7 linked regions of the Neurospora crassa OR74A genome follow. The protein of the gene in region 6 interacts with the protein of the main gene of each other region in a pairwise test. Links are inferred from orthologs where the notes say so. Each region holds a gene or a part of one and is shown on either strand. Other genes may lie near its edges.

What was found.
Region 1: the proteins of NCU07712 (region 6) and NCU06090 interact in binary tests that used the Saccharomyces cerevisiae proteins (3 or more experiments, as listed by UniProt). The link is inferred for Neurospora crassa OR74A from reciprocal best matches to the Saccharomyces cerevisiae genes DBP10 and RRP14.
Region 2: the proteins of NCU07712 (region 6) and NCU05289 interact in binary tests that used the Saccharomyces cerevisiae proteins (3 or more experiments, as listed by UniProt). The link is inferred for Neurospora crassa OR74A from reciprocal best matches to the Saccharomyces cerevisiae genes DBP10 and NOG1.
Region 3: the proteins of NCU07712 (region 6) and NCU09131 interact in binary tests that used the Saccharomyces cerevisiae proteins (3 or more experiments, as listed by UniProt). The link is inferred for Neurospora crassa OR74A from reciprocal best matches to the Saccharomyces cerevisiae genes DBP10 and NOP12.
Region 4: the proteins of NCU07712 (region 6) and fkr-4 interact in binary tests that used the Saccharomyces cerevisiae proteins (3 or more experiments, as listed by UniProt). The link is inferred for Neurospora crassa OR74A from reciprocal best matches to the Saccharomyces cerevisiae genes DBP10 and FPR3.
Region 5: the proteins of NCU07712 (region 6) and NCU03669 interact in binary tests that used the Saccharomyces cerevisiae proteins (3 or more experiments, as listed by UniProt). The link is inferred for Neurospora crassa OR74A from reciprocal best matches to the Saccharomyces cerevisiae genes DBP10 and SPB1.
Region 7: the proteins of NCU07712 (region 6) and NCU01301 interact in binary tests that used the Saccharomyces cerevisiae proteins (3 or more experiments, as listed by UniProt). The link is inferred for Neurospora crassa OR74A from reciprocal best matches to the Saccharomyces cerevisiae genes DBP10 and LOC1.

What each region holds. Positions count from the first base shown.
Region 1 is NC_026507.1:1,847,947-1,852,166, reverse strand, and holds NCU06090 (hypothetical protein), read left to right. Parts: upstream 1-1,420; 5' UTR 1,421-1,658; coding exon 1,659-1,679; intron 1,680-1,801; coding exon 1,802-1,885; intron 1,886-1,995; coding exon 1,996-3,486; 3' UTR 3,487-3,939; downstream 3,940-4,220. Other genes in the region: NCU06089 (exonuclease), read left to right, coding at 1-775. UniProt on the Saccharomyces cerevisiae protein: Involved in ribosome biogenesis and cell polarity. Required for the synthesis of both 40S and 60S ribosomal subunits and may also play some direct role in correct positioning of the mitotic spindle during mitosis.
Region 2 is NC_026504.1:5,445,647-5,449,654, reverse strand, and holds the start of NCU05289 (nucleolar GTP-binding protein 1), read right to left. Parts: upstream 2,801-4,008; 5' UTR 2,609-2,800; coding exon 2,577-2,608; intron 2,521-2,576; coding exon 2,491-2,520; intron 2,390-2,490; coding exon 2,361-2,389; intron 2,296-2,360; coding exon 2,278-2,295; intron 2,208-2,277; coding exon 2,064-2,207; intron 1,962-2,063; coding exon 901-1,961; intron 830-900; coding exon 185-829; intron 92-184; coding exon 50-91; 3' UTR 1-49. Other genes in the region: NCU05290 (orotate phosphoribosyltransferase), read left to right, coding at 3,230-3,931. UniProt on the Saccharomyces cerevisiae protein: Involved in the biogenesis of the 60S ribosomal subunit.
Region 3 is NC_026501.1:5,442,282-5,446,363, reverse strand, and holds NCU09131 (nucleolar protein 12), read right to left. Parts: upstream 2,801-4,082; 5' UTR 2,499-2,800; coding exon 2,488-2,498; intron 2,425-2,487; coding exon 2,361-2,424; intron 2,300-2,360; coding exon 1,190-2,299; intron 1,121-1,189; coding exon 521-1,120; 3' UTR 65-520; downstream 1-64. Other genes in the region: NCU09130 (hypothetical protein), read left to right, coding at 3,403-4,082.
Region 4 is NC_026501.1:5,029,454-5,033,434, reverse strand, and holds fkr-4 (FK506-binding protein 4), read right to left. Parts: upstream 2,801-3,981; 5' UTR 2,542-2,800; coding exon 2,452-2,541; intron 2,356-2,451; coding exon 1,912-2,355; intron 1,842-1,911; coding exon 1,178-1,841; intron 1,119-1,177; coding exon 913-1,118; 3' UTR 273-912; downstream 1-272. Other genes in the region: NCU16390 (hypothetical protein), read right to left, coding at 3,372-3,552, 3,616-3,770. UniProt on the Saccharomyces cerevisiae protein: Proline isomerase that belongs to an abundant class of enzymes that catalyze the cis-trans isomerization of X-Pro peptide bonds and can accelerate the refolding of proline-containing polypeptides. Specifically binds nuclear localization sequences.
Region 5 is NC_026505.1:2,021,513-2,025,484, forward strand, and holds the start of NCU03669 (AdoMet-dependent rRNA methyltransferase spb1), read left to right. Parts: upstream 1-1,172; 5' UTR 1,173-1,315; coding exon 1,316-1,483; intron 1,484-1,550; coding exon 1,551-3,327; intron 3,328-3,394; coding exon 3,395-3,865; intron 3,866-3,944; coding exon 3,945-3,972. Other genes in the region: NCU03668 (WD domain-containing protein), read right to left, coding at 1-122. UniProt on the Saccharomyces cerevisiae protein: Required for proper assembly of pre-ribosomal particles during the biogenesis of the 60S ribosomal subunit. Specifically methylates the guanosine in position 2922 of the 25S rRNA at the stage of 27S pre-rRNA maturation.
Region 6 is NC_026504.1:2,110,052-2,113,994, reverse strand, and holds the start of NCU07712 (ATP-dependent RNA helicase dbp-10), read right to left. Parts: upstream 2,801-3,943; 5' UTR 2,687-2,800; coding exon 2,374-2,686; intron 2,308-2,373; coding exon 1-2,307. Other genes in the region: NCU07713 (DnaJ domain-containing protein), read left to right, coding at 3,121-3,234, 3,318-3,893. UniProt on the Saccharomyces cerevisiae protein: ATP-binding RNA helicase involved in the biogenesis of 60S ribosomal subunits and is required for the normal formation of 25S and 5.8S rRNAs.
Region 7 is NC_026505.1:3,571,855-3,574,781, forward strand, and holds NCU01301 (60S ribosomal subunit assembly/export protein loc-1), read left to right. Parts: upstream 1-1,212; 5' UTR 1,213-1,341; coding exon 1,342-1,650; intron 1,651-1,759; coding exon 1,760-2,080; 3' UTR 2,081-2,427; downstream 2,428-2,927. Other genes in the region: NCU01300 (imidazoleglycerol-phosphate dehydratase), read right to left, coding at 1-413, 497-773; NCU01302 (hydrolase), read right to left, coding at 2,585-2,728, 2,783-2,911. UniProt on the Saccharomyces cerevisiae protein: Required for efficient assembly and nuclear export of the 60S ribosomal subunit. Involved in asymmetric localization of ASH1 mRNA.

The sequences.
Region 1 (4,220 bases), on a different chromosome or scaffold from region 6:
TCAGACCAAGGCGAAGAAGGCGGCAGCCAGGAAGTCGGAGTCTTTCATCATGTCGGATGACTCTATCGAGGAAGCTTTTCGGAGCGTTCCGGATGCTGTATGGAGTTCGTCAAAGGCTCGTCGTCGGAGCGGAAAGGTTCAGTTTGTCGAGGAGTCACCGTCCTCTGAACCAGTGTCTCAGGAGAAGGAACAGGAAGATTTGGAAGAGCCATCTCTTCCTGCGATGCCAAGGAGTACCACCATTGATGCCAGCAGCGATGCCGAGGACGAAGTGGAAGTTCCTGGCTCATCATCGCAAGAGGCCATCACCAAGAAAAGTGTGAAATCCCAGACGCCGCTGGGCCCTCGGCTCCGGCAATTCTCGTATCAACCAGGTAAACCCGGTGCTCGCCTTGTCAATGGTCTGCCTACACCTTCCTCAACCCAAGAGAGATCTGCTGCGGTGCGTAGATCATCGTTGAATCCAAGCTCGCCCATGTTGACTCCGTTGCAACGCATGGGAGCCCGGGCATTGAAGCAAGTTACACCCCGCGCCACGCCTCCTAGCAGCCTCCGCGCACGTAAATCAAGCAAGCCGAGCGAGGCTCTCGGCTCCGTCCAGGTGGATCCCGCCGCCATTCCGTTGCCGTTGGCCGACTTTGCTGAAGTTAGAGCCCTGAACATGTCGCTTCAGGGGAGCGAGGATCAGATTATTCCTGAGAGTGATGGAGAAACCGAATTGGGCACGGCAGCCACTCGTCCGCGACTTAACTTGGCGCAGTACCTGTATTCGTGAGCCCCCAACTCGTGCTCTCTGGAGTGTATTAGGAGAAGCCAGATATGTGGTGTGCATAGCTCTCGGCGTATCGGTAAGGAAGAAACCCCGCCTGGAAAATGGGTGGGCTTGAATTGTACTATGGTCTGTTGTAAGGAAACGAGGAAAGATCATGGGTCAGGAGTATTATCAGGCAAAGAAGGCAATCATGGAAAGAGCAGGCTGAAGTAAATGAGGAGAACTTCTATTGCCTGTTATGCGATAACATTGCCCTGATGGGCCATTCATTGATGGCCTTTGTCCAGAAGGTAGCTATATCACTTTAGTAGGAAATAAACAAACAATGGTAACCATGATGAAGGAACACTGTTGCACCTGTCAAGACACTGTCAGGAGACATGTCACCATCAGATCCAAACATAAATCCTATAGGTATACTATACACGAGGTAGACGGGAGCGTGCTAGAATAGGCAAGTATCCCTCTAACCGCGATAAGATCGATGAGTAGGTGCCAGGGCAGTTCACCGCCTTTGGCAGAATGCCAGAACCCCAAGCGTGAAAGTGTGGGGCAAGGTGCTGGGGGGCTCCACACTGCTGGGAACAATCCACTAAAATTTCACTGTAATCCACTGGCGAACAAAAATTCATCGAGACGGGAAACAGTCGCTCGACCACAGCCGACCCGCCCTCCACTGTCTCAATTTTTCCATCTGGGTTTCGTTTCGATACCTCGACATACTACCTCGACCATTATTCCGCCCGCTCGACATCACTCACAACCCCATCACAGCGAAATCCCGGATTCGACTTTCTTTGTCGCCTCAATCACCTAGGTCTCTCTATTTTAGCGACTGGCAATCAACCAGGTCGACTCGTACAAGCGAAAACCAGCGTGTGCAAAGATGGCGGATACCGATTTGCAGGTAAGCAGACCGGCGCTGGAATGCACACCACCGATACGGTGATACCCATGGGCTGGTAGTTGTGGCCAAACTGGGATGGCTAGAGTTCGACGCTGACCATGCCGTCTTGCGATTGCGAACAGGAGCGCCTGCGTTCTCACGCTCAGGCCTTTGACGGTCTACTGTCGCTGATCCCAGCCAAGATGTACTACGGCGAGGACAATAGTGTACGTTACCCCCACCCGTTGACTTAGCTCTTCATCATAAACTCAACCATTGATGTTGGTGTCAAAATGCCTTCGATCGCGTCGCTGATCCCAAGTAACCCCGCCAACAGGATCAGTGGAAGAAGAAGAAGCAAACCAAGGAGCAGGCAAAAGCTGCTAAGCGGGGGAAGCTCGATCCCGACAGTGAACTCAACCGCAACGCCAAGGAGGTCATGGAGGAGCGCGCCCGCAACAAGCGCAAGCTCCAGGAAATGGAGGAGAGCAGCACTGAAGACAGCGACATCGACGTCGAAATCCCTGGTGTTGAGAAGGAGAAGCCTCTTGAAGGACTGAAGAAGAGGGTCGTCAAAGACGACGCCGAGACAGAAGAGTCTGCGCCTAAAAAGCAGAAGCTTTCCGAGGAGGAGGAGGAGGTGGTGGAGGAGGAGGCCGTCCCCGCTGAGAAGCCCTTGAGCAAGAAGGAGCAAGAAAAGGAGGCCAAGCGTCTCGCAAAGCTGGCCAAGCAGGAGAAGAAGAAGGCCAAGCTCGAGGCGAAACTAGGCAAGGGTGGAAAGACGGAAAAGAAGGACGACACCGCCGAAGAAGCCAAGCCTTCTACCGAAGCTAACGAGGACGACGAGAACGACGATATGGCTCCCATTGATGTGTCTGGTCTCGTAACAAAGGAGGATGAGGGCGAGTCCCAGGAATCCGCTCAATCTTCTGTTTTCGACAGTCGCGACAAGGCCGGTTCCGCCGAGCCTGCCAGCGCCAACACCTCGATCTCTTCCGCCGTTCCCCCATCGGATAAGCCCAAGTTCAAGCTTCCCGCCGATACCACGGTTCTCCGCGAGCGTCTCGCCGCCAAGATTGAGCAACTCCGTGCCGCTCGCAAGGTTGAGAAGGACGACGAGGGTAAGCCCATTCGCACTAGGCAGGAACTCATCGAGATGCGCCGCGAGAAGGAGGCCAAGCGCAAGGCCCACAAGCGCGAGCAGAGACAGAAGCAGAAGGAGGAGGAGGATCGGAAGCGGTCAGAGGCTATTGCCAGCTCGCGCAACTCTCCCCTAAGCATGCTCAGCCCCAAGGACGATGTTGAAACCAACTTTGCTTTCGGACGTCTCGCCTTCTCTGATGGTGTTCAGCTTTCTCGTGACGCCGCCTTTGTCAAGTCCGACGGAACCAAGAAGAAGGGCCCCACGGACGCCAAGTCCAAGCTTGCCAAGCTTGAGGCGCAGAAGAAGCGCCTCGAGGCCTTGCCTGAAGATAAGCGCAAGGAAGTCCTTGAGAAGGAGACGTGGCTCGCTGCTCGCAAGCGTGCCGAGGGCGAGAAGGTTCACGACGACGAGCACCTGCTCAAGAAGGCTGTCAAGCGCAAGGAGAAGGCAAAGAGCAAGAGCGCCAATGAGTGGAGAGAGCGCAAGGAGGGCGTCGCCAAGGCCCAGTACGATAGGTCAAAGAAGCGCGAGGAGAACATCAAGAAGAAGCAGGACGAGAAGAAGGCCCGCAAGATGGGCATCAAGGTCAAGAGCGGCAAGGGCGGTAAGGGTGGAGGAAAAGGTGCTTCCAAGGGTAAGAGCAGGCCTGGATTCGAGGGCGGATTCGGTGGTAAGAAGAAATAAGCGTCGGATAAGGTGTTCAGCAAGGGGTGTTTTGTCTTTTTGGAGAGAGATGTTGATACCACTGCTGCTGCATAGCGGCAGATGCTCGGGAGGCTGGCATATCCTTTTCCCATTCTTCTGCCTTGTCGCTACGTACATATTTCTTGCTGGAAGGGGGTAACAGGTGGTGTTTTTGGCGTTTGTTTTTTTTCCTCATGGTTTTTCGTTTCTTTTTTCTTTGCACGGTCGGAATGGAAAAAGAGATTATATCACACGTACATATCACAACTGGACCAGATCACGACAAGCGGTTAACATGGTACGAGGCTGGGCAAGCCTTGTCTTTTGTTCTTTTATACTTAGCTAGCTTTTAGTAGTGGTGGCGAAGGGAGGAGGTAGGGGCTGGAGGTCCCCCTTCTTCTTCAGCGAGGCAGCATCTTCAGGGAGTTAAAAAGTGATTATCAGCTCACCGAGTCTTTTCTCTTTTTTTGTCCGGTGACTTGAATTGGTGATGTGAGACGCATAGCTTCCCTTTCTTGCTTGTCTGATACCGAGGCGCTCTCCGGTGTAGGCGTTAAATTCCAGCTGTGAAATGAGGTGCTGTTAGTGCTGGGTGGTCGGACTCTACTTTATTCGCAATCAAAGCACTAACACGGCGCCTGGAAGCCGACATAATTCTAGGTGATGCTACACGATTTTATCATGATCGGAGCAACCCGTGTTCCGTTCCACAAGGGAAGCTTGGAAGGGGTTAA
Region 2 (4,008 bases), about 3.3 Mb from region 6:
ACACACCCAACCCAACCCAACCCAAACATATATGGATCATCGATCCAAATTAACGACGCTGTGTCTTGCCGACGGTACGCTTGCCGGAGAACTATAGAAAACATGTGTGGTTAGTTTAGGAATGAAAAGAGAAAAGAGAAAAGGGGGATTGAAGGAAGGGGAAAAGAAAAGAAAAAAGACGTACCAAATGCTTGGGCATGGTAGCACCAATATGCCTGTCGGCCTCGCCGGCTCTGGCCATCCTGTTCATCTTGCGCTGGCCGAGCTTGGCCACCCTCTCGGCCTTGGAGCGGGCTGTCTCCCCGTCCATGCCCACACCACCAGTAACACCGTCGTCGCGCCTGTTTGTCGCGCCCTGGCCACGCTGGGCCGGACGGCTCTGAGAGCGAAGACGCTCGGCGGCGCTCTTGGGCGTGTCCACCTCCATGGCGTCGGGGTCCTCGGTGGCGTTGCGGCTGCGGGCCAGCGAGCGGCCGCGAGTGGGCTCGCGCACCTGGGCACGGCCGCGCAGGTTGATCTCCTCGGTGTCGACGCCGAGCTGGTCGATGTGGTCCTCGAGCTGGGCGAACGACTTCTTCTGCATTTTCCGGGGGATTATGGCGCGGTTCTTGAGCGACTTCTTCATCTTGGCCTCGTTGCGGATCAGCTTGTGCTTCTCGCGGATGTACTCGGCCTTTTGCAGGATCTCCTCCTCCGACTCGTCGCCGAGGTCCGAGTCCGACTTGTAGAAGCCCTCCTTCTCGAGACGCTCCTCTTCCTCTTCGAGAGCGGCCAGCTTGGCCTCGATATCGGGGTCGATGAAGTCGTAGACGTTCTTGCCGTCGACAATCTGTTCGTCAAAGCGTGACATGTTAGTAACCGGGTTTAATTTGGGGGAGACGGAATGCGAGAGATACTGACCTCGGGAATCTTGTCGTACTTCCACTCGGGGTTGGCCAAGATCCAGTTCTCCCTGAGATCGACGTTGAAGACACCAGCACCACCGTTCTGCTCCTCGATATCCCTGGCGAGAAGTTTCCTCTCGGGGTCGGCCTTGTCGTACTTCTTGAGACCCTTGACGGCCTCGGGAATGAAGGTCTCGCGGAGAACACCATCGGCGGGCTGGGCGACGTGAATACGGGACATGACCTCGGTGAGACGGGAGCCCATGGTGCCGTTGCTGCTGGTACCGGCCTTGTACTTCTGGTTGACACGCTCAACGAGGAGAGCCTCGCAAACGGTGTTCTTGACTTCCTGGACACCGTCCTGAGTAGCGCAAGAGGCGCGCAAAAGCTGAATGTTGCCGGACTTGGTAAGGTCCATGAGATCGGCCTGGGATTCGGGGTCGAGGTCCTCAACGGTCTTGATATCCATCTTGTTCAGGACAACGTAGACCATCTTGTTCTCGAAAAGGGGCTTGATGGACCTAAACAAGTTGCACTGGGCCTTGAGCGAGTAACCGCACTGCTCCGAGATATCGATGAAGAACATGACGGCGGCTCTGAGATGGGCAAGGGCAGTAACTGACTGCATTTCGATGGTGTTCATCTCTTCGAGAGGGTGGTCGAGAATACCAGGGGTATCGATGACCTGGTAACGGAGGTACTTGTAGTCGAGGTGGCCGACGAACAAGCTCTTGGTGGTGAAAGCATAGGGCTCGACAGGGGTATCAGCGCGGGTGACGGAGCGCACGAACGAAGACTTGCCGACGTTGGGGAAGCCGGCAACGAGGAGGGTACGGGTGGTAGGGTTGATATCGGGCAATCTGGCCAAATGCTGGCGGACCTGGTCGAGGTAGGCGAGAGGGTCTTTCAGACGCTTGATGAGGGTGGCCATACGACCGAGGGCGGCTCTCTTCAACTGCTTGCACTGGTACAAACTTTGCGAGTACTTGAGGAGACGGACGTAATCACGAGAGATGGTCTCGATCAAGTGCTTGGCGGTCGAGACCTGACCAAGGGCAACCTTGAAGTGGTCGGCATCTATCCATCACCTTGTCAGCCACTATTCCCAACAAGACCAGGCGCGGTTCACAACCCGCTGTTGCTGAAACCGCCTGTCGCAGGGAAGCGCGGGATTCGTACCGTAGAGAATGTTCATCAAATCGCGGTGGAAAGGATGCTGGTCGGCGAGGATGGGGAAGCTCGAGACGATGGCGCCGAACTTTTCGCTGCATGTTTCCTGTGTGAACTTGACCTTACGGGTGTAGAAGGCTCTAATTCTGCTGACTGTTCGGTGTCGCGTGTCAATGATCTATTCGAATTCTCATACAAAGTATCGGATATCGAGACGACATACTCTTGAAACCAGCACGAACTATTCAAAGTAAAGGTTAGCGATCATGCCATGCTTCACGTAATTTTCCACATTGTACAACATACTCTGAGTCGGCAAGCGACGCTGTGTCCTCCTGTTGAACAGTTAATATCCTTCACCACCGTGGCCAAGCCATTGGACTCGAACTCGAAGACTTCGCATCGTCGTGGTTGGGGGCTGCCGATGTCGACTTACGAGAGGATGATGTCGATGAATTCCTGTGCCCTGTAGAAGCGAGTTAGCGATGCCAAACAACAACACAACAACCAAGATGTCCTTACGTAGGCACAGGGGCAATGTCCTTCCACGTCATTTCGGGTATAGATGTCAAGCACTTGCTGGTGAGAAGATCTCGGACTGGAAGTGCAGGACAATGAGGTCGGACGGACGGTCTGAAGGATAGAGACCGGCTGCGGGGGGAGGGGGCGGTGTTGGAGGGCGACGGGGAGGCGCTGCGCTGCCAAATGGAAAGTCTACTTCGAAATATTTTTCCAGCGGCTGCTCCAATCGATAAGATAACAGCAGAGTGCCAAAGTGGATTGAACCTAGAGGTAGTGTGCGCTGCCAAGACATGCTGCCAAGGGGTGCTTAAGGATTCGGCTAGTGTGGAATTTAGGATTTTCTAACCCCACATTTTTTCAGGGACCCCACCGCGCCCAAGTGGCCGATGACCGGGCTTTCGCGGGCCTGGCTCCTGGAACTAGGTGGCCCACTCGTAACCCACCATCTGATTGACTCGGTTGAAAGACTGCCGCGTGTGACGCCGCCAGGAACTGAACCCTTCCTTCGGCCCCTCCCTCCATTTTCTCAATTTTCCCCAGGTTCCTCCAGCTATTCAGTTGCCAGGCAGACAGACGTCAACGCTGTTCTTCTGAAATCTCTTCTTCTTCTTTCAGCTTCAATTCCAATCCTACAAACACTACGTACCAGCACAATGGCCGCTCTCTCGCCTTACAAGGCTGACTTCCTCAAGGCCTCCATCGACGGCGGCGTCCTCAAGTTCGGCAGCTTCGAGCTCAAGTCCAAGCGCATTTCCCCCTACTTCTTCAACGCCGGCGACTTCTACCGTGCCGACCTTCTCCAGGCCATCTCCACTGCCTACGCCAAGTGCATTATCGAGGCTCACAAGAGCGGCCAATTGGACTTTGACATTGTTTTCGGCCCCGCCTACAAGGGCATTCCCCTCGCTACTGCTGCCACCGACAAGCTTGCCCAGCTTGACCCCGAGACCTACGGCAAGATCTGCTACTCTTTCGACCGCAAGGAGGCCAAGGACCATGGCGAGGGAGGCAACATTGTTGGCGCCCCTCTGAAGGGCAAGAGGATCCTCATCGTTGACGATGTCATCACTGCTGGCACTGCTAAGCGTGAGGCTATCGCCAAGATCGAGAAGGAGGGCGGCATTGTCGCTGGCATCGTCGTTGCTCTTGATCGCATGGAGAAGCTCCCTGCCGCTGATGGTGACGATAGCAAGCCCGGCCCCAGTGCTATGGGCGAGCTCCGCAAGGAGTACGGCATTCCCATCTTTGCCATCCTTACTCTGGACGACATCATTGAGGGCATGAGGGGTCTTGCCTCCCCTGAGGACGTCGAGAAGACGGAGGAATACCGCGCCAAGTACAAGGCTACCGACTAAACGCTGGAGTTGGATTCTCTGATAAACTAGTAACATGTATATCACAGGTTTGTTCGCCCAGTACCCTCTGACCATAG
Region 3 (4,082 bases), on a different chromosome or scaffold from region 6:
CCTACACAGCTCACCCACAATTCCACGAGACATCATGTAGAAAGTTGGTATGGTGCACTTGAAGGCTTTACACGTTGTTTCTTTTTTATTTTCTTTCAATGTGGCCGTGTTGTTAATTTTTGTATTGTTTGCGATTCCCTGTCGCAAGAACCACGGAGCCAGGCTTAACAGTCGTTCCACGGTTATACTGCAATTTCAGACAACTACATATGTACCTAGTTCTGGGCGCCAAGGCTCTTCCTCCACATTCCCGTCATTGCGAAGTATCACGCGGTTGGGGACAGTCCGTTGAGATACCTTCATATGCGATGACTGCATTACAGCCTATCCTATCCTATCCATACATGCGCGCGTCATGAATCGAAGGCTTCTGTTCACTTTCGAATTCTGCCCCTTTTCTTGAAGCTTGAAAATCCACGGGCCGCGCCGGATGAAACGCGCGCACCCGCACCACGCCGGCTGCTGCCCGTTGGCTCTATACCAGCAAACAACCCTAAACATCAGGCAAATGGCCTAGCACTTATTTCTTCCCCTTCCCTTGAACCTTCCACTTCGAAGCCCTCGCAGCAGCACGACCAGTCTTCTTCTTACCACCACCCGCATTCGGCGCCTTGTTCTTCTTGGCGCCCTTGAACTTGAGATCCTTAGGTTTTCCGTCTGCCGCACTAGCACGCTTACCCTCGAGAATGAAACTCTCGGGGGACTTGTAGGCGCCCGGGACTCTGGGACCGGTCGCCTCCGTGTTGGCGCCCGAGGCGTGATTCCTCCTTTGGTTGGCCTGGTATCTGTCCTGCTTGTTGAAAGTCTTCTTCTTGTCGGAGCCGATGACCTGTCTGGCAGTGAACTTGCCGAGGAGCTTCTCAGCGCGGCCGGCGATGGTCTTGGCTTCGGCGGAGATCTTGGGGGCGTAGTCGGATTTCTTGGAGCCAGGACCCTTCTTCCCGTTGTTGCCTTTCTTCATAGTTTCCGGAACGGCACCCTGCGCCTTGAGCTTCTTGGCTTCGATGGCACGCAGGGTCTTGTGAGGGGCCTTGCAGCGGCTGACGCGTAGCTCGCGGGGGAGCATGGGCGGGAATTTCTTGCCGTTGAGGAGGATGGCTGACTCGACGGCGTTTTCATCCTACGGAGGGGGAACAGAGTTGTTAGTTGATAACGGGCAAGTAAGAGACAGAGAGAAGTGATAACTCACGCAGAACTGAACGTAGGCGAAGCCCTTGCCGACACGGGTGACAGGGTCGCGGACCACACGAACGCTCTCAACTTTGCCGCCCTCTTTACCGAATACCCGCCAGAGACCTTCCTCAACGTCCATAGGCTGCTTTGTCCGCTTCTTCTTCTCGGTCACCTCCTTACCGTCTTCGTCTACCTTCACTTGCAGTACTGTCTCGTCATCCACAAAACCAAGGTTACCGACGAAGACGCAGCGCTTGTGGTCTACCGGGGCAGGATGGGCAACGCTGTCGACACGGATGTGGCGATCCAACACGATTGTGCCGTTGAGTTTCGAGCAGGCAAGACGAGCGGCCGCAGGGGTACTGTAGACAACATAGGCGTTTGTCGACTTCGTAGTGGCCTCCATCACGGACTTCTTGATATAAGCGGCACGCTTGGGAATGGCAGCGGTAGCGAAGGCAGTCGAGCGGAACCGTATCGACTCAACCTTTTGCGCAGGTTTCGCCTCCTTGTCCAACACTGAAGCCATATGCTTCATCAAGGCCTTTTTGGCCGAACGAGAGGTGACGGCCTCGACGGCGACATTGCTGAGGAAGACGGTGCGGTTGGCCTTCTCAATCTCGTTCTGGGCAGCATCGGGCGCTAGCGATTCGTGAACGGGGACCTCATCCGCAGACTCGCTGTCGTCGTCGTCCTTCTTCTCGGCCTTGGCGGTATCCTTCTTTTCTCCGGATTGCTCGTCGGCCTTGAGACGCTTGCCAGCCGGCTCTTCATCGTCCTCCGCCAACTTGGACAGGTATTTGTGTTCGAGATTGTCGTGCTGGTCGGGTTGCTTCCGCTTCCGTTTCGGTCCATCTTCTTCCGGGACCTTTCCTTGTTCTACAACAACTTCGAGGGTCGCGACGGCTTCGTCTTCGCTGTCACTGTTGTCTTCAGCCTCGTCGTCTTCGTCATCCTCTCCAATGCCGACCTCGGAATCGTATTCTTCGTCAAGCTCGCTCAGTTCCTCGTCATCGCCCTCGTCCTGAACGTCTTCCTCTTTCTTGGAAGGTACTGGCGCCTTCTTGGACTTTGTCGGTAGGGGCTCGGAGTATTTTGCAGCTGGGCGGGGCTTCGCTGGACCAACCTACACAAGATTAGCCATGTAAACTTCCAATTGCCTGTCTGGTCAGAGCGAGATGACTTACACTGGTAGCAAACAAAGCATCCAAGCTAGGATCAACCTTCTTCACCGGCGCAACGAGTCCTTTACTATAATAGTGGTGTCAGAATACTGGAAGAATGGCGTTGACTGTAGCGTAGGGCTGTTCGCACGTTTTACCCATTGTGAGTTTTCCGTCGTGTGTAAGCGCAATGGATGGGAAAGTGGCACGATTCGCCAATCAAGCACTTGTGATTGACTTAGTTCTAAGAGCACGGAAAAACAACTGAAGTTCGACGACGAGGCGAAAGATGTGATTGGCTGTAAATGCTGTCAAAATCGAATTGCAAAGCTTCCACTTCTGATTTCTAGCAGGATGTTGTACAAGGCAAGACCAGTTTCTATGCAGGCAGGTTCAATGGTCCAGGGTTTCAAAGGGTCGTCGTTTCTACCTTCCCCACTGCGCATCGTAAGGACGAGTCGAGGACCGTGGAACATCTTGCATCCTCCCATTAAAAAAAAAAACTCGCTTATCAGTTGTTATCAAAGCTGCCAAGACTCACCGCCTGCCATCGCCTTTGTGTGGTGCGCTGGGCTGTTGGAGACGGGCGGCGGCGGCAGGCAAGCGGGCAGGCAATGGAGCCCCCCAGAAACCTGCCGGTTGCCCATTTGTGTTGCGTGCTGGTGCGGTGCTGTGGGCGCTTGTCCAGCTCCCAGTCTAGGTCGTCAACCAGATACCTACTGCCCGCTCCTCACTCTCCCGATCTGTCTTCCTACTACTTTACCTACCCAGACCGCACGTTATCTCTTGACAATCGCGCCCTCGTACCGACAACAAAGCCATATCTCCGAGACATTTCATTGTGTGCGAGCACACATTTTAACCTTCCGGCATAAACACACTTTACCCTGATCGTGGCGCCACAACTTCAGGTGCTGCTCTTGAGCTGCCCGTACAGTTCGGACGTCCAGTCCGCCGTCCACGACTAAATTCTACGTGGCCGTCCAACTTTCCACTGCTCAGCTGCTCAACCCAACATTGGCGCGTCGTTGCTTAGTTTCAATCTCGTCGGATTCTATGATCCGCGATGGCTACCGGTGACACCGCGCTGTCCTTGGCTCTCTCGAGCCCCCCTCCGCCTCTGCTCCAACACAGCCCTAGCGATGTGTCAAGCCCACTTAGTGACGTGGAAGACAAGCATGGAGATCCTGACGACATGGATTTGGACATGAACAGTAACCACTCTCAACATCGCGAGACATCGGTCCGAACTGACAATCGCGATGGCGTCGACTCGGACCTTGGCGCTGAGACTGACGACGAGAGCAAGCTGTCGGACGTGGATATTAATGACTCCGAGGCAGAGACAGAGAGGCTCTACGACACACCACCGAAAGATCGAGTATCGCGCGACATCGTAGACACCGCGGGTGAGCCTGGCACTCGACAATTCACCGACCGCCGCGATCGGACGTTCGAGCGCAGCCCTAGCAAGCTTCAGCAGCAAATCAAATCTGATTACGAACCGGAAAACACTGCCAGCGGGCGAAACACTCCCTCAGAAGAAGCAGAAGTGGGTGACGAAGAGGCCTCGGAAGACCTGAGTGACGAAGAGCCTGAATTTGCTGCCAAACTACCACCTGCGCGATCTCCCGTGCTGGCGAAGAAAGTACAAATAGTTTCCGCCTCGCCTGAAAAGATCCTCACACTATCACCCCGACATGATATCCTAAAGCGGAAACGCTCCTCAGTCACCGAGCAACAAGA
Region 4 (3,981 bases), on a different chromosome or scaffold from region 6:
TTGACTGGGTGAAGAAGAAGCGAGAGACGACCTAGGCGAGCAGTCGTCAGGCTTAGTGGGACGATAAACCGGGATGGCGGTACCCAAATGACTTGATGTTTGGGAAGAGCTCCTCTTCATGTCTCAAGCTCGGTCCTGTCCATTGAATGGTAGAAACCGCTGCGGCGTCTAAGTTGGTCGATCGTAACGCACAATGCCTAGTTTGGCGGCAGTCGGGAGTCGCGGCGGCTATGATGATAGTGAAAGATACAATGACGATACCTATTGAGAGATGGAAGCAGAGCGGGGAGGTGGGAAGACGTGGATGGACTTTGTCAGTGTGTTGAAATACGACAAGGTGCAGTGAGAGAGGACGACTCGGAGTAAGGTAGCTCCATACCTATGCATCACCTGAACTACCTACCCATTAGATGTGCCTCCCTTGCCCCAGGTCAACAACACTGACCTCTTGAGGCACAGACAGGGCAGGTACGACTTCAATTCTGAAGAAAGCCAGTGTTTGTAGCCAACTGTCACGCTTTCCTGGAAGTTATTACCGTCCGTCAATCAAAGACACTTTCCTCGACATCTCGAAACATCCAAGTTTGCCAAGTCCGAGTCGAGTGTAGGTAACGTAGAAATGTTGCGCCTTTGCAATTGATAGACGCAATATAGAATAGATCGTGCCCCATGAACGATGTACAACCCAAAGTACAGAAAGAAATCCAGACCCAATACTTTTGACATTATGCTGTTGAAATGACATTCCCACTTCCTTGACCAAACCCAACATGAGCGCAAGGAAATATGTGCTGACCAAAGAAATCCCAAGACTTGCTAGCCATAGAACACGAAAGGTTGTGGATGACAACCGCCATAGAAATCGCGACGCTAGCCAAAGCCTTCCTACCCCACGCTTCGAAACGTCACAATCTACTTGATCTCAAGGAGCTTGACGTCGAAGATCAAAGTGCTGTTGGGGGGGATGCCGGGAAGGGCACGGCTGCCGTAGGCAAGGTGCGCGGGGATGGTGAGACGACGCTCACCACCGACAGCCATGCCAGCAACACCGATGTCCCAACCCTTGATCACCTCACCCTTGCCGAGCTTGAAAGAGAACGGGGCACCCTTCTTGTTGGCTGTATTGAATATTAGTCTCTAGTCAATACTGTGAGAGTGATGGAAAAGTGAGACTTACAGTCGAAGACCTTGCCGTTCTGGAGCTTTCCGATGTAGCGCATGCCAACACGGTCACCGTTCTTGGCGGCACGGCCGGTGCCAACCTTCCTGTCATCAATGGTGACGCCCTGGACAACCTTGACGGTAGAGGTAGGCTTCTTGTTCTCAAGCTTGTCCTTGGCAGGGCCAGTAGGGCCCTGCTCGAGGTTCTTGGCGAACTGGACCTTCTTGTCGGACTTGGTCTCCTTCTTAGGCTCCTCCTTCTTGGCCTCCTCAACCTTCTGCTTCTTCTGTTGCTTCTTGCTGAGCTTCTTGTCGTCCTTGGAGATCATGGCATCGAGACCCTCGGCATCGTCCTCGGCGGGGCGCTTCTTGCCCTTCTTGCTGGTGTCGACAAGCTTGGGAGCCTCCTCCTCCTCGTCTTCCGAGGTGATCTCCTTGACACGGGGGGTGCCATCGAGCTCGTCGAGCTCGTCGCTCATATCGTCGGAATCGTCATCCTCGCCACCAAGGGGAAAGTCGTAATCCTCGTCGTCGGACTCATCCTCATCATCCTCGCTGTCCTCCTCGTCATCCTCGGGAACAACGAAGTTACCGGTGAGATAGACAGAGTGGGTACCCTGGACACAGAAGAAGACCTTCTCACCCTCGCCGATGGTGATGTTGATGGGCTGCTGGTAGTTCTGTATATGGGGAATCAGGTTAGCTCCAAGAACTCAAAAATACGTTCACCGAATGGATGGGGCTTCTTACGCGCTCAGTGTCAAGGGTGCAGACAACGTAGTCCTCAAGCTGGAGGTCATCATCGCCGCAGCAGTCGCTCTCCTCGTCGCTCTCCTCCTCGTCGGACTCGCTGGCCTTGCCCTTGCCCTTGCCCTTCTTGCCGTTGGGCTTGGCATCCTCCATCTCCTCATCAGACTCCTCCTGGGTAGCAGCCATAAGCTTCTTGATGGCAGCCTCCTGCTTGGCCTTCTTGGACTTGGAAGGGTCGCTGGGACCACCGTTGGCCTCGTCGTCAGAGTCGCCGCCGCCGAGGAGGGACTGGAGGTACTCATCCTCCTCCTCATCATCGTCGTCATGGTCGTGGCCAGTGGCCTTGATGATCTTCAGGGTCGAGCGGGGGAGCGCGGGAATGTTGCCTTGGCCGTCAGCCTCAGGAGCCTTGGTGGGATCGAGGGCGGCCATGGTGATGTGAATCTGGAATTCATGTCGTTAGCTCCGTGTAACCCAGTCCAGTGGAGCGCCATTGCCTGCGAAGGAGAGGGCCAAAGGCTCCGAAAAGTGTGCACTTACGATAGCAGGGAACTCAGAGGCGGCGGGAATGAGGATCTCGCCAGGAGGAACCTCCAAGCCAAAAACGGCGACAGGCATAAGGGGGGCCATTGTGAAGATTGGGTGGTGCTTTGCGCCGGGGTATCAAAAAGTCTAGATTTTAAAGAAAACTAAAGAGACAGGAACTCGAAGTCGTCGTCGGAAGTATACACTTCTAAGATTGAAAGAAGATGAATGGGCTGGGTAGAAAAAGTCTGAAGATGGATGCGACCAGTTTGACTTGGGAAAGGCAGAAAATGCGATCGAGGACGAGGGCGGTCGACAGGAAAAGTTCAGGCGAACTGCACTTGGAATCCAGAAAAATTTCGGCACCCCACCGTCTGTACTGTCTGTTACTGTAGCGATAAGACTTCCTTATCGGTTCACTGCCACTCTCCCGCTCCCCAAGCCAAGCTAGCAAGGGTATGTCGGTCAATGCAGGCCGGTCTGCTAACAAAAGCGGGGAAGAGTTCGACAAGCTCCGCGCTAACGTCGTGCGCGGACGCTTGATGTGCCTAGAGCTGGCATGGGAACCTTGCGACGACGGGATGTTCAAACTGCAACTCGTCATCACCGACTCGAGGTTTGAAGGTGGTCGCCGCGGGACTGCAATCTTTTGCCATCTGCAGGATTCATTGGTGCCAGAGCAAAGTGCATCAGGTGGGAGGTATAAGAATGAACACCATGCACCACAGGTACATGTCTGGAGTCTCCCGGCGATGCCATCCCACATCACATCGGTCCCCCAGGCTCACGGTTCACTCCACCTGAGTGAGAGGATTCACCAACGAAAGCATTTCTGAGGGATTCAAAGCAAGATTAGGTAAGCCCCTGGCTGAACCTTCAGGCACACCTTGATAACCCAGCATGCCACAGTCATCCCATCATCAACGCAATCGTCTCTAGATCTTGTCTCGATTTTCATATCTCTGCGGCCTCTCATCCACCTTAACGAGCTTCAATCCCGACTTAGCCACTGGGCCCGGGAAGTGACGGCTCTGCCTCGCGTAAGCCGCAACGAGATCATTGCCGTTGGTTACGCCTCCTATAGTATTCATCGAATGTCGGCCCAGTCTTCTGGGCCTAGTCAGGAAGGGATGAAAACAAACCACTAGAATAAGCCAAAGATTCCCATCCCCCACCCACCTCAACTTCTCCGCCACCCGAATAACGTCCTGGTCCTCGAATCTCGTCCGCAGATCTCCTTGCAACTCTCGCGGTCCACAGGCTTGCTTGCTTTTGAGTATCCCGGCCGCACCGCAGAGGTAGATGGCTGAGTAGACGCTTAGGATGTCTGTCATTTTCGTCTGGTTGTTACTGGTGTTGTTCGCATGCCCTGCCAGCCACGACAGAGCGGCTGGGCCCTCTTAGAGGTCAAGCTAAGGATTCCGGTCCCGGAATCAAGACGATGTCAAGCTTTCCTGGTGCCACTTCAAAGCGGATGTCTATGGAGGCTATCAGAGGGATTGGGTGATAAATAGTTGGACTCTGCTGATGTTTTTTGTGTCGTTT
Region 5 (3,972 bases), on a different chromosome or scaffold from region 6:
TCCTTGGCTGCGCTTCGCGGAGGAGGAGAGGACGGAATGGGGGGAATGTTGTTGCTGGTGTTCAACGACGACGAGCTCTTAACTCCCAAAGGGGTTGAAGTGCTGTTGGAGTTATCGGCCATGGCGAAAGGATTCTCTTCGACTACCAGAGCGAAGAGCTGGGTCCAGGCCGCTTATGCAACACGATACCTAGAGACGATGTACACGGGGCCGGCGACGCTGGATGCGCGCGACCTGGCAGCGAGGGGCCGCCGATGGCAAGGGTACGCGGAGACAGAGAACAGGCTGTGGTGATGGATATTTGTACAGAATCAGTTGAGCAACAGCTGGCGCAGAGGTATTGCTGGCAAGTGTCGACTGGATATTGGACAAGGGCTGACGTCGAAGTTGCAGGCTAGGCTGTGTGCAGCAAGCAGGCTGAGCTTGAAGAAGGACGGGAGGTCGAGGTCGTCGTTGAGAGACAAGGTAGGCGGCCGGGGGGGGCGTAAGGTATTGGCGCCGAGTTTATTGGTTGGCGGATTTGGTCGTAGTAGTATGGGTCCTCTGAGTGAAGTGGTGCGGCCGGAAGGGGTATGTCTATGTCGGTTTCTGGTGTAAGTGTGTCCTTGGTAGTATGGACTTGAAATTGAATGCGTAGGTGGAGATGTGATGGAATTGGATTTGGTTGTTCGTTTCTGTTGTGGATTTCCCTTGCGTGGTTCAGTTCCTAGAAGTACCTACGCTTTTGCTGAGTTCCCACTTGAGTACCTAGGTTTGCCGGGCAACCAAATCGACAGCCATGGAAACCTGACCTGACCTGGCCTGACCACCCATGGACTCCATTGAACACCTCCTCCAGTGGGCAGAGGCTGGGCGTGCGGTCCGTAGCGGCCGGGGGTCGGGGGGGAGGCGCCTAGAAGGAATGCGGTTTAGTGCTCCATCAGGGGAACGCGAAGACGCGGGAACAAATGACGCGCTGCATCGCGAAAGCTTAATGGCTTTTTCGTCCCATAAATCGCGGTTGCTGAAGACATGAAGATTGGTCAATGCACTGCACTTCAACCGCGGGATGTCTGGCCCACCCTGATGGGGCCCGTCTTGCTCGTTGCCCCACCAGCCGCCGGAGTCCAGTCTCTTATCGCTTATCGCCCTGCAGCTGTCATCCAAAAAAATCATTCTGCAACGACGACCCTGCAATCCCTGCGCTGCGAGTGCTGGAGGGAAGAACAGTCAAAGGGCACCCGGACTGCCATTTTCACCAACCCAAAAAAGTCACCAGGTCGTCCTGCTCAACAACACCAGTCGGAAACACCCCCCGACTTAGAGCACCGGCACCATGGCGATCCAAAAGAAACACGGCAAGGGCCGTCTTGACAAGTGGTACAAGCTTGCCAAGGAGAAGGGTTATCGTGCCCGTGCCGCCTTCAAGCTGATCCAGCTCAACAAGAAGTATGGATTCCTCGAGAAAAGCAAGGTCGCTCTCGATCTTTGCGCTGCGCCCGGTGTAAGTCATAGTCGTGAACATCCAGTTTATCATGGAGTGAACTAACCATGTCTGTGTCCGTCCCTAGTCGTGGTGTCAAGTCTGCGCCGAGACTATGCCGACAAACTCCATCATCATCGGTGTCGATCTTGCTCCCATCAAGCCCATCCCCAAGGTCATTACCTTCCAGAGCGATATCACCACCGAAAAGTGTCGCGCAACCATCCGCTCCCATCTCAAGACATGGAAGGCCGACGTCGTTCTTCACGATGGTGCGCCCAACGTCGGTACTGCTTGGGTCCAGGATTCGTACAACCAGGCCGAACTTGCCCTGCACTCGCTAAAGCTGGCCACCGAGTTCCTTATTGAGGGCGGTACGTTCGTCACCAAGGTGTTCAGATCCAAGGACTACAACTCCCTTCTCTGGGTTTGCAACCAGCTTTTCGCCAAGGTCGAGGCTACGAAGCCCCCTTCGTCCCGTAACGTCTCCGCCGAAATCTTCGTCGTCTGCCGCGGCTTCAAGGCCCCCAAGCGCATTGACCCCAAGCTTCTCGACCCCCGCTCCGTTTTCGAGGATGTGGCCGGCCCCGCCCCCAACAACGAAGCCAAGGTGTACAACCCCGAAGTCAAGAAGAGAAAGAGAGAGGGTTATGAGGAGGGAGACTACACCCAGTTCAAGGAGATCTCTGCCAGCGAGTTCATCAACACTGTCGATCCCATCGCCATTCTCGGCCAGTACAACAAACTCAGCTTTGAGCAACCCAAGAACGGCGATGTAGCATTGGCTGCCCTCGACAAGCTCCCCGAAACGACCGAAGAAATCCGTCTCTGCTGCGCCGATCTCAAAGTGCTCGGCAGGAAAGAGTTCAAGCTTCTCTTAAAATGGCGTCTAAAAGTACGGGAGATCTTCGGCTTCCCCTCCAAGAAGACCCAGAAGGCAGCTGTGGACGAGGAGGTTGCGGTAGTGGAGAACATGGATGAGGAGCTTAGGATCCAGGAGGAGCTGCAAAGGATCAAGGAGAAGGAGACCTCCAAGAAGAAGCGCGAGAGGAGGCGCGAGAATGAGAAGAAGCAAAAGGAGATTGTCCGCATGCAGATGAACATGACTGCGCCCATGGATATTGGTGTGGAGCAGGAAGGTCCCCGTGGTGAGGGTGCCATGTTCCGTCTCAAGACTATCGACCAGAACGCTGCCCTGAATAAGATCGCCAAGGGCAAGATGGCCGTTATCAAAGAGACCGAGAAACCGAAGGATTACGACTTTGGCTCCGACGGCGAAACCGACGAGAGCGACGAGGAGGCCGATCGTCTGGAGGAAGAGCTCGACAACCTGTACGATCAGTACCGGGAGCGGAAGGCGGCGGCCGATGCCAAGTACCGTGCCAAGAAGGCCAGGAAAGAGAACGGCGACGATGAATGGGAAGGCGTATCTGGCGATGAGGAGAAGGGTAGCGACGACGATGACGATGAGGAACTAGAAGTGGACAGCAGTGATGATGATTCCGACTCAGAGGATGGTGAATCTGGCAAGAAACTTATAACAGATCTAGACGGCCAGCCAGAAGAGAAGGATGGTCTGTCCAAGCGGGCCAAGAACTTCTTCAGTCAAGGTATCTTTGCGGAGATACCAGGACTTTTGGAGGAGCCAGAATCTGAGGAGGAGGAGGCTCAGGAGGCTGAGCTTGTTGAGGCTGTGGAGGACCTCAAGGTTACCAAGAAGGAGAAGAAGGAAGCCAAGGAAACCAAGGCCAAGAGCAAGAAGGCGGCCGAGGAGAGCGATGACGACGACGATTTCGAGGTTGTCAAGAACAACGAGGATGACGACTGGGAGAACGTTGAGAAGAAGAAGAAGAACGGCAGGCCTGGTAAGTTTCACTCAGTCCCTCTTCAGTATGACCTGTTAAGGGCAATGGCTGACTATGACAACTACAGACATCGACATCATCACCGCCGAGGCCATGACCCTCGCCCACCAGCTCGCGACCGGCGAGAAGACAAGTTACGACGTCATCGACGACGGTTACACCAAGCACGCCTTCAAGGACCGCGACGGTCTTCCCGACTGGTTCCTTGACGACGAGTCCAAGCACGACAAGCCGCACAAGCCCATCACCAAGGCCGCAGCGCAGGCCATTAAGGAGAAGCTCCGGGCCTACAACGCCCGTCCTATCAAGAAGGTGGCCGAGGCCAAGGCCAGGAAGAAGTTCAAGCAGGCCCAGAGGCTGGAGAAGCTCAAGAAGAAGGCCGATATGCTTGCCGGTGACGATGGCATGTCAGAAAAGGAAAAGGCTGCTAGCATTTCGAAGCTCATGGCGTCGGTTGCTAAGAAGACGAGGAGGGCGCCTATCAAGGTTGTCAAGGCTGCTGGTTCCAACAAGGGTCTCCAGGGCAGACCTAAAGGAGGTTCGTACTATCACTACCTTAAGATCTGGTGTGTTCTTTATGTTGGAATGATGCTAACTCGGTTTTTTCAATTTTATAGTCAAGGGCAGGTACAAGATGGTGGATCC
Region 6 (3,943 bases):
TGAACTTGTCCGCATCCTTGGGCGCCTTCTCCATCTTGTGCTTGTACCGCGGTTGGCCAGGTTGGGCTCCGAAGTTGCGGATGAGCTGCGACTTCTCCGTCTCGCCAATCGTGGGCAACTTGCCGAGACGGTTATCCTTGCGCCACCGGTCGAAGCGGCCGCTCTTGAACGAGGCGGCAATCTTGACACCGGACTCGCCACGAATCATCTTGGCGCCCTTGGAGCCGTCCTCATCGTTGGCGACCGCCACGTACTTGCTGTGACGCTTGTCCCAACGCATCTTGGATTTCGTGGGCAGACCGAAGTTCTTGGCACTCTCGTCGTTGGTCAGGTCCATGGTAGCGTCGCGAGCGGCCTCGACGAAGCTGTTGCCGCTGTAGCCGCCCGAGTGAACACCGTAAGCCTTCTCCTCCGCAAGGCTAGTGGTGCGAGGCGTGTAGGACATGAAGATCTCGGGGTCTTGGAAGTTGACCGGGCCACCCTTCTTCTTCGTATGCATGCTGCTGGATACTGTAACCTCCATCTCCGAATCCGAGTCGTCGGCGTATGGGTCTTCCTTGGCTTCCGCCTCTTCTGCCTCTTCCGCCTCTCCCTCCTCTTCCTCATCCTCAAAGTCTTCGAACGCATTGGTCTCCTCGCCGTCAGGTTTACCCTCGGCATCTTCCATGTCCACGTCCTCATCATCCTCGTCGTTGGTAGTCTTGCGCTCCTTGAATCTGGAACGCATGTTTCGTACAACTTCCGCGGCCTTATTGCGGCTAGACTTGCCCTTAGGGCCAAGTTCAAAGATGGTTTCCTGGGGCTTGAAGCGGTTTATCCTGCTGAGAAGATCATCGCGAGCTGCCTGGGCTTCAGCGGCTTCTTCTCCAAACAAAGGATGGAGCTGTGTCCAGCCCCTGGACTGCGTAACTTCGCGGGCTCTCTTTGCGCTCTGGCTCGACGCAGAATTCCTCGTCTTCATGTAGAGCTTCTCGGCCTTTGCGGCAACACCCTTCAGCGCCTTGAGATCGGCACTCTCCTTGAGCGCCTTCTCAACCCACTCAATGTTAACATCCACTCCATCTCTCTTTAGTGTTCCAACTACGACGTCTGCCGCGAAGGAAGGGTTCTTCTGATCGTGGCCGATAATAAGTTTCCTTCCCAGGAAGAGCTGTAGATCAAGTAGATATGGTACGTCTGACTGACGGACCAAACCATAGGCCCAACCACGCTGACCCGCACGAGCTGTACGACCAACACGATGGACAAAGATCTTGGGCTGAGATGGGAAATCGTAGTTGATGACGTTGGCGAGAGCAGGCATATCAATACCACGGGCGGCGACATCGGTAACCACGAGAATATGTGTTCTTCCCCGACGGAAGTTGTCAACTTGGATCAAACGGGCCGTCTGGTCAAGCGAACCGTAAACGTAGGACACGGCAAAGCCTGCGAGTTTCAACAGGTTCGCAATGTACTCGACGTGATGTTTCGTTGCTGTGAAGATGATGGTCGAGTATTCCGTCGGCTTCTCCTTAGGATTGGGCCTGTACTCGCGTTTCCTTTTCCTCGCCTGCAATTCGTCACTCTCTTCCTTTGTGCCCTCGGGCGGACCCAGCGGGACCTTGATGACGTCGTGGAGAAGATGGAGAAGGGCACCCTCCTTCTCACCTCCCTTTACTGCGAAGAAAGCACTCTCGAGGTCGGGTGACACCTTGGTTTCGGCATCCAACCTGACAAGGCTTGGCTCTTGAAGACCGGCTCTGGCGAATTCGACCAAGGACGATGGGAGCGTCGCAGAGAAAAGAAGCGTCTGTCTGGAAGGAGGGAGGGCGTGAAGAATTTCGGTCAACTCAGTAGCGAAACCCATTTCGAAGAGGCGATCAGCTTCATCGAAGACAACGTATTTGATGGAGGCCAAAGAGAGGTTCATTTCAACCTTGAGATGGAGGAAACGACCGGGTGTGGCGATGATAATATCGGGATTCGACGCCATCATACCAAACTGTTCTTCTAGGCTGTCACCACCGACGAGCAATACGGTCTTTAGATCGGTACCTCTGCCGAGTTCCTTGACGACCTTGAGGGTCTGCAACGCAAGTTCACGCGAGGGAGACATGATGAGCGCCCTCGAGCCAACACGTGGACTGTGCCCCTTCAACCTCTCAATCATGGGGATAACGAAAGCTGCAGTCTTTCCGGAACCGGTTCTGGCCATGCCGACCACATCTTTTCTTTCTAAAATCAGGGGGATCGCTTTGCGCTGAATGGGGGTCGGGACGGAGAAGCCTTTTCTGGTAATCGCTCGGAGGAGATGGGCGTTTAGACCTAGGAGAGTATCAGCAGCTGCCCCAAGCATCATCAACTTATGCCATGGGACGGAAGACTACGCACCCATTGCCTGGAAACCTCCACCCTTCTTGACTGATTTGCCCTGAATGTTGGAGGACTTTCTCTGCGAGCTCCGTGTGAGCGAAGCGATAAAGGCTTCGTCATCATCGCCCTCGCCATTAAAGCTAGGTAGTCCATCATCGCCGTTACCGAGAAGATCGTTGAAATCGAGGTCAAGCCCGCTGTTCGTAACAGCTCCCTTCTTGGTGTGGTGCTTGCTGCTGTTGTCTTCGAAGTCGCTGTCGTTGTTGAACAAAGCACCCGCGATGTCAACCTCGTTCTCGGACGGTGTGGGGGACGCTGCGCGTCTAGGCATGGTGAGCGAGGGTTGTGTTGCTGCCAATTGCAGCACGAATCGCTAATTGAAGATGCAAAGACGGACGGGGTGGGTTGGAGTTTAGGTTGGTGATGATGATGGGGTCTTGGGGTCTCTTGTCTACTGTAGCCATCAATGCCTGCCCGTCACCCGTAAATTTTGGATGGTCGACTTTTTAGTGGGGCCAATGTGACATTTATCCATTATCAGCTTATCAAGTACACCCATTGCATGCCCGTGGGTTTGCCTTGGCAGCGCTGGCGTGCGTTAGCTGTGCTTTCCGCGCTCCTGGAGGTGTCGCAAGTCGCAACTACTGAACTTCCCTAAACTTCCCCGGAGTTGCGTTCCGTTTGGTAGACCGAACTTACTTATCCATCAACCCTTTGTAATTGATCAAACAAGCATCCAGATTGACCCTCCATTCCGGCGACAATATGGCGACAGACACTAAGGACGTGAAGGACGTTAAAGACGTCAAAGACGAAACTCCTGCCGACACTCGGGATGCGCTTGAAGTGCTGGAATCTGAAGCCAAGGAGTGGGAGAAGGCAAGCCAGACAACAACCACGCCCAACTATACCAACATTTACATCCCCAACTCAGTAGTTGCTGACAATCTAAATTCCGACAGGATGCCGAGATCGACCGTATCTTGAAAGCCTTCCGGCTCGACGCCTACTCAGTCCTCGGCCTCAAGCCCGGCGTGACCGAATCCGACATCAAGATTGCTTACCGCAAAAAGTCCCTGCTGATCCATCCCGACAAGACCAAAAACCCCTTGGCGCCTGAGGCGTTCGATAGACTGAAGAAGGCGCAAACGGAGCTAATGGAGGAGAAGCACCGCAAGAACCTAGACGAAGCTATCGCGGACGCGCGCATGCTGCTGATCCGCGAGAACAAATGGACGGTCGACAGCCCTGAGCTCAAGACGGCCGAGTTTGAAAAGAAGTGGCAGGAAAAGACCAAGTTTGTGCTGATCGAGAACGAGCAGCGACGACGCAGACAGCTCAAGGCGCAGATGCAGGAGGAAGGCCGCGAGCAGCGGAAAGCTGACGAGGAGGCTGAGCAGCGCAAGCGCAAGAGGCAGCACGAAGAGGACTGGGAAAAGACGAGAGACCAGCGCATCGATAGTTGGCGCGCGTTTCAAAAGGGCAAGTCTGGGGATTCGGATAAGAAAAAGAAAAAGAAGTTGAAGCCTATTGGCTGAGCAAGAAGAACCTGCAATGCTCTTTCATATGAGCATGCGCAGCAATATTC
Region 7 (2,927 bases), on a different chromosome or scaffold from region 6:
TTATACGCTGAGCGTTCCCTTGGTGCTAGGAACTTCACCCTCGCGACCCGCCACCCGGCTAGTAGCCTGCCTCGTGGCAACCGCAAGCGCCTTGAATGCGCTCTCAGCTCTGTGGTGGTCGTTGTCGCCGCGGAGGCAGTCGACGTGCACGGTAATGCGGGCAGCCCCGGCAAAGCTATGGATACAGTGGGGGATCATCTCGGTGCTGAGATCGCCAATCTTCTCGCGCTTAAGACCGAGGTCGACAACGGCAAAGGGACGGTTCGACAGATCGACGACGGCACGGCTGAGGGCCTCGTCGAGAGGGCAGTATGCGGATCCGAAGCGCGCGAGGCCGGTGGGTGTGCCGAGAGCCTTGGCAAAGGCGTAACCAAGAGCGATGCAGACGTCTTCGGCGGTATGGTGGTCGTCGACTATGAGAGGGACAAAGTCAATTCAGAGTTCTGGATGTTGTTCCACGAGGACTTCTGCGCCCAAGCCAAGTGTGTCTACTAACTGTGAAGGTCGCCCTTGCAAGCAAGCGCAAGACTCCAGCCGGCATGCTTGGCAAGCGCATGGAGCATGTGGTCAAGGAAACCAATGCCGGTATTGACGCTGATAGTTTGCGATTTGCTAGCCTGAGTGGCATGGCCGTCGGCGATACTGACGTTCAAGCGGGCGTCGGTCTCGGGAGGGAATGCGCCGCCATCAAGGTTGAGTGCGATCTGGATCTTGGTCTCGTTGGTGTCGCGTGCAAAGGCGGCCCAGCGGGGCGCGGGCTGTTCGGTGCTCATTTTGTCTGAATAGGGCGTCTGAGACTTCTGGGGACTGTAGACTCTTGGGATATCACCACGGCAGTGTGATCAATTGCGATGTAAGGATGGCGACAATAAAGGTGATCTTGGAAATTTTGGCGATTTCGGAGTGCCACCAGTGAGGGAACGCACCGATAGGCAATCGATATGGAATAGGTACCTCCACTAGTGCTGCCAACCCCGCGCTTACACTAGAAGGAAACTAGAGTTTCCTGCTCGCCTGCCGATCCCCAGCTGCCAATTAGAGATTTCAAGGCAGCCCCACGGCGAGCTGACAGACCCCACTGCCCCGTAACCGCGCTCAGCAGGCGTTGATACAGTGCTATATGCACAAGCTCTAGAGGTACCTTGGATTAACCGCGATAAGATAAGGCAGGGACCAATTCCGGTCCCAAAATTTTCCCCAGAAGTCGACCGAACTGAAGCGACAGCGTACAGGATACATTCGAGAGTATTCGTACTCCATCCACCCATCCATATCCCGAACCACCATTTCATCTATCGTTGATTTCTTACGACCTTATCAACGAATCAACCACAACTCACAATGGCGCCGACAAAAACGATAAAGAACAAGCACGCTGCGAACAAATCCGGCATCAAGGGCAGCAAAGATGCGGAGAGGTCGAGGAACGATGGAGTGCTCAAGTCCAAGGGAAAGCCGAAGGGCAAAGCTCACACTCTCGTGACTGCCAGCAAGGGCCGACCGAACATCCAGGAGCTTATCGCCAGGAAGAAGAAGAAGAAGACCTACAGCGAAAAGGAGCTTGCGATTCCGGAACTCAACATGATCACCCCCGTTGGTGTGACCAAGCCAAAGGGAAAGAAGAAGGGCAAGGTGTTTGTGGATGACAAGGTAAGCTGTCTTTCGTTAGCGTCTGGGGTCATATTGGTTTTTTGTTTTCTTGCTAGGTTTCAAGACCGGAAAGCATCAAGTAACTGACATGTTTTCCCCCTTTGTACAGGAGAGCATGGCCACTATCCTAGCCATCGTACAAGCAGAAAAGGAGGGCCAGATCGAGTCCAAGATGATCAAGGCGCGACAAATGGAGGAGATCCGCGAGGCGAGACGCGCTGAAGCCGAGAAGAAGGAGGCTGAGCGCAAGGCCAGACTCGAAGAGACTAAGGACTCGCTGCGCAAGAAGCGTAAGCGCAGCAAGCAATCGGGCGGTAGCAAGGGCGACGACGACGATGACTCCAGAGATGTCAAGGAGTTCTCGTCTGCGGGCACGAAAGCCGTTAAGTCGAAAAAGAAGAAGTCGGTATCCTTCGCTGCTCCCGAATAAATAATCAAGCAAGGATGCTGGGAGCTTTGAAGGTCCCTCCTGGGAATGGGCTGGGAGAATGAAGACAGGAAGGGTGGAAGTTTGTCGTGTAATACCTACACCAAGCATTTTTTCTTCGCATGTATGGCGTCTGGGCGTTTATATCAATCAAAGTCTGGCGGCGGGTAGGATGGCTTGGCTGGGGGAACAGTTCTGACTGATTTTGTGTGTGGAAATTAAAGATACCAATTGGGCACGCCAGCCTTGGTCCAGCCTCTTTTTCTCATGAGTCGGTAGATGTTATTAGGTGAAACCGTCAGGATGGTGTAGTTCGTGGCTCGCATAAGCCATCAATGAACGTACGTTCGAACCTGTATCCAAGTCGAAAGCGCGAATCTAAGTCTATGTGCAGCCCCAATGTGCCTTGAAGCGCGTCTAGACCCTTTAGGCCCAATCGATGGACCCATCTCTATAGCTAATCTATGTACAGTCTTCGTTCTTTTCAAGTGTTCATTCCACCACCATCTATTGATCCACATCGAGAATCTGCAACTTTCGCTGCACAGGGTCGAAGTGAGTTCTGAACTGGCTATCGAACTTGTCACAAGCATCCGGCTTGATGGCGTCCAAGTCAATATCGAAAGCCATCTTGTTCAGGAAGTTGCAGATCTAGACAACAAATCAGCAAAAAGTTACCGGAAAGTGAGGCAAAAAGAAACTTACAGGACGAGTATGCCATCGTCCGCCACCAAGTTCGAACCATGAAAGATGTCCGCCGAGAGACGTGAGGCAAAGTACCGTGTAGGGGTTCTGCTTGATCTCTTGGTAGGGAATGGCCTCCTCAACAGCGATCTAGTAATTTGTCAGC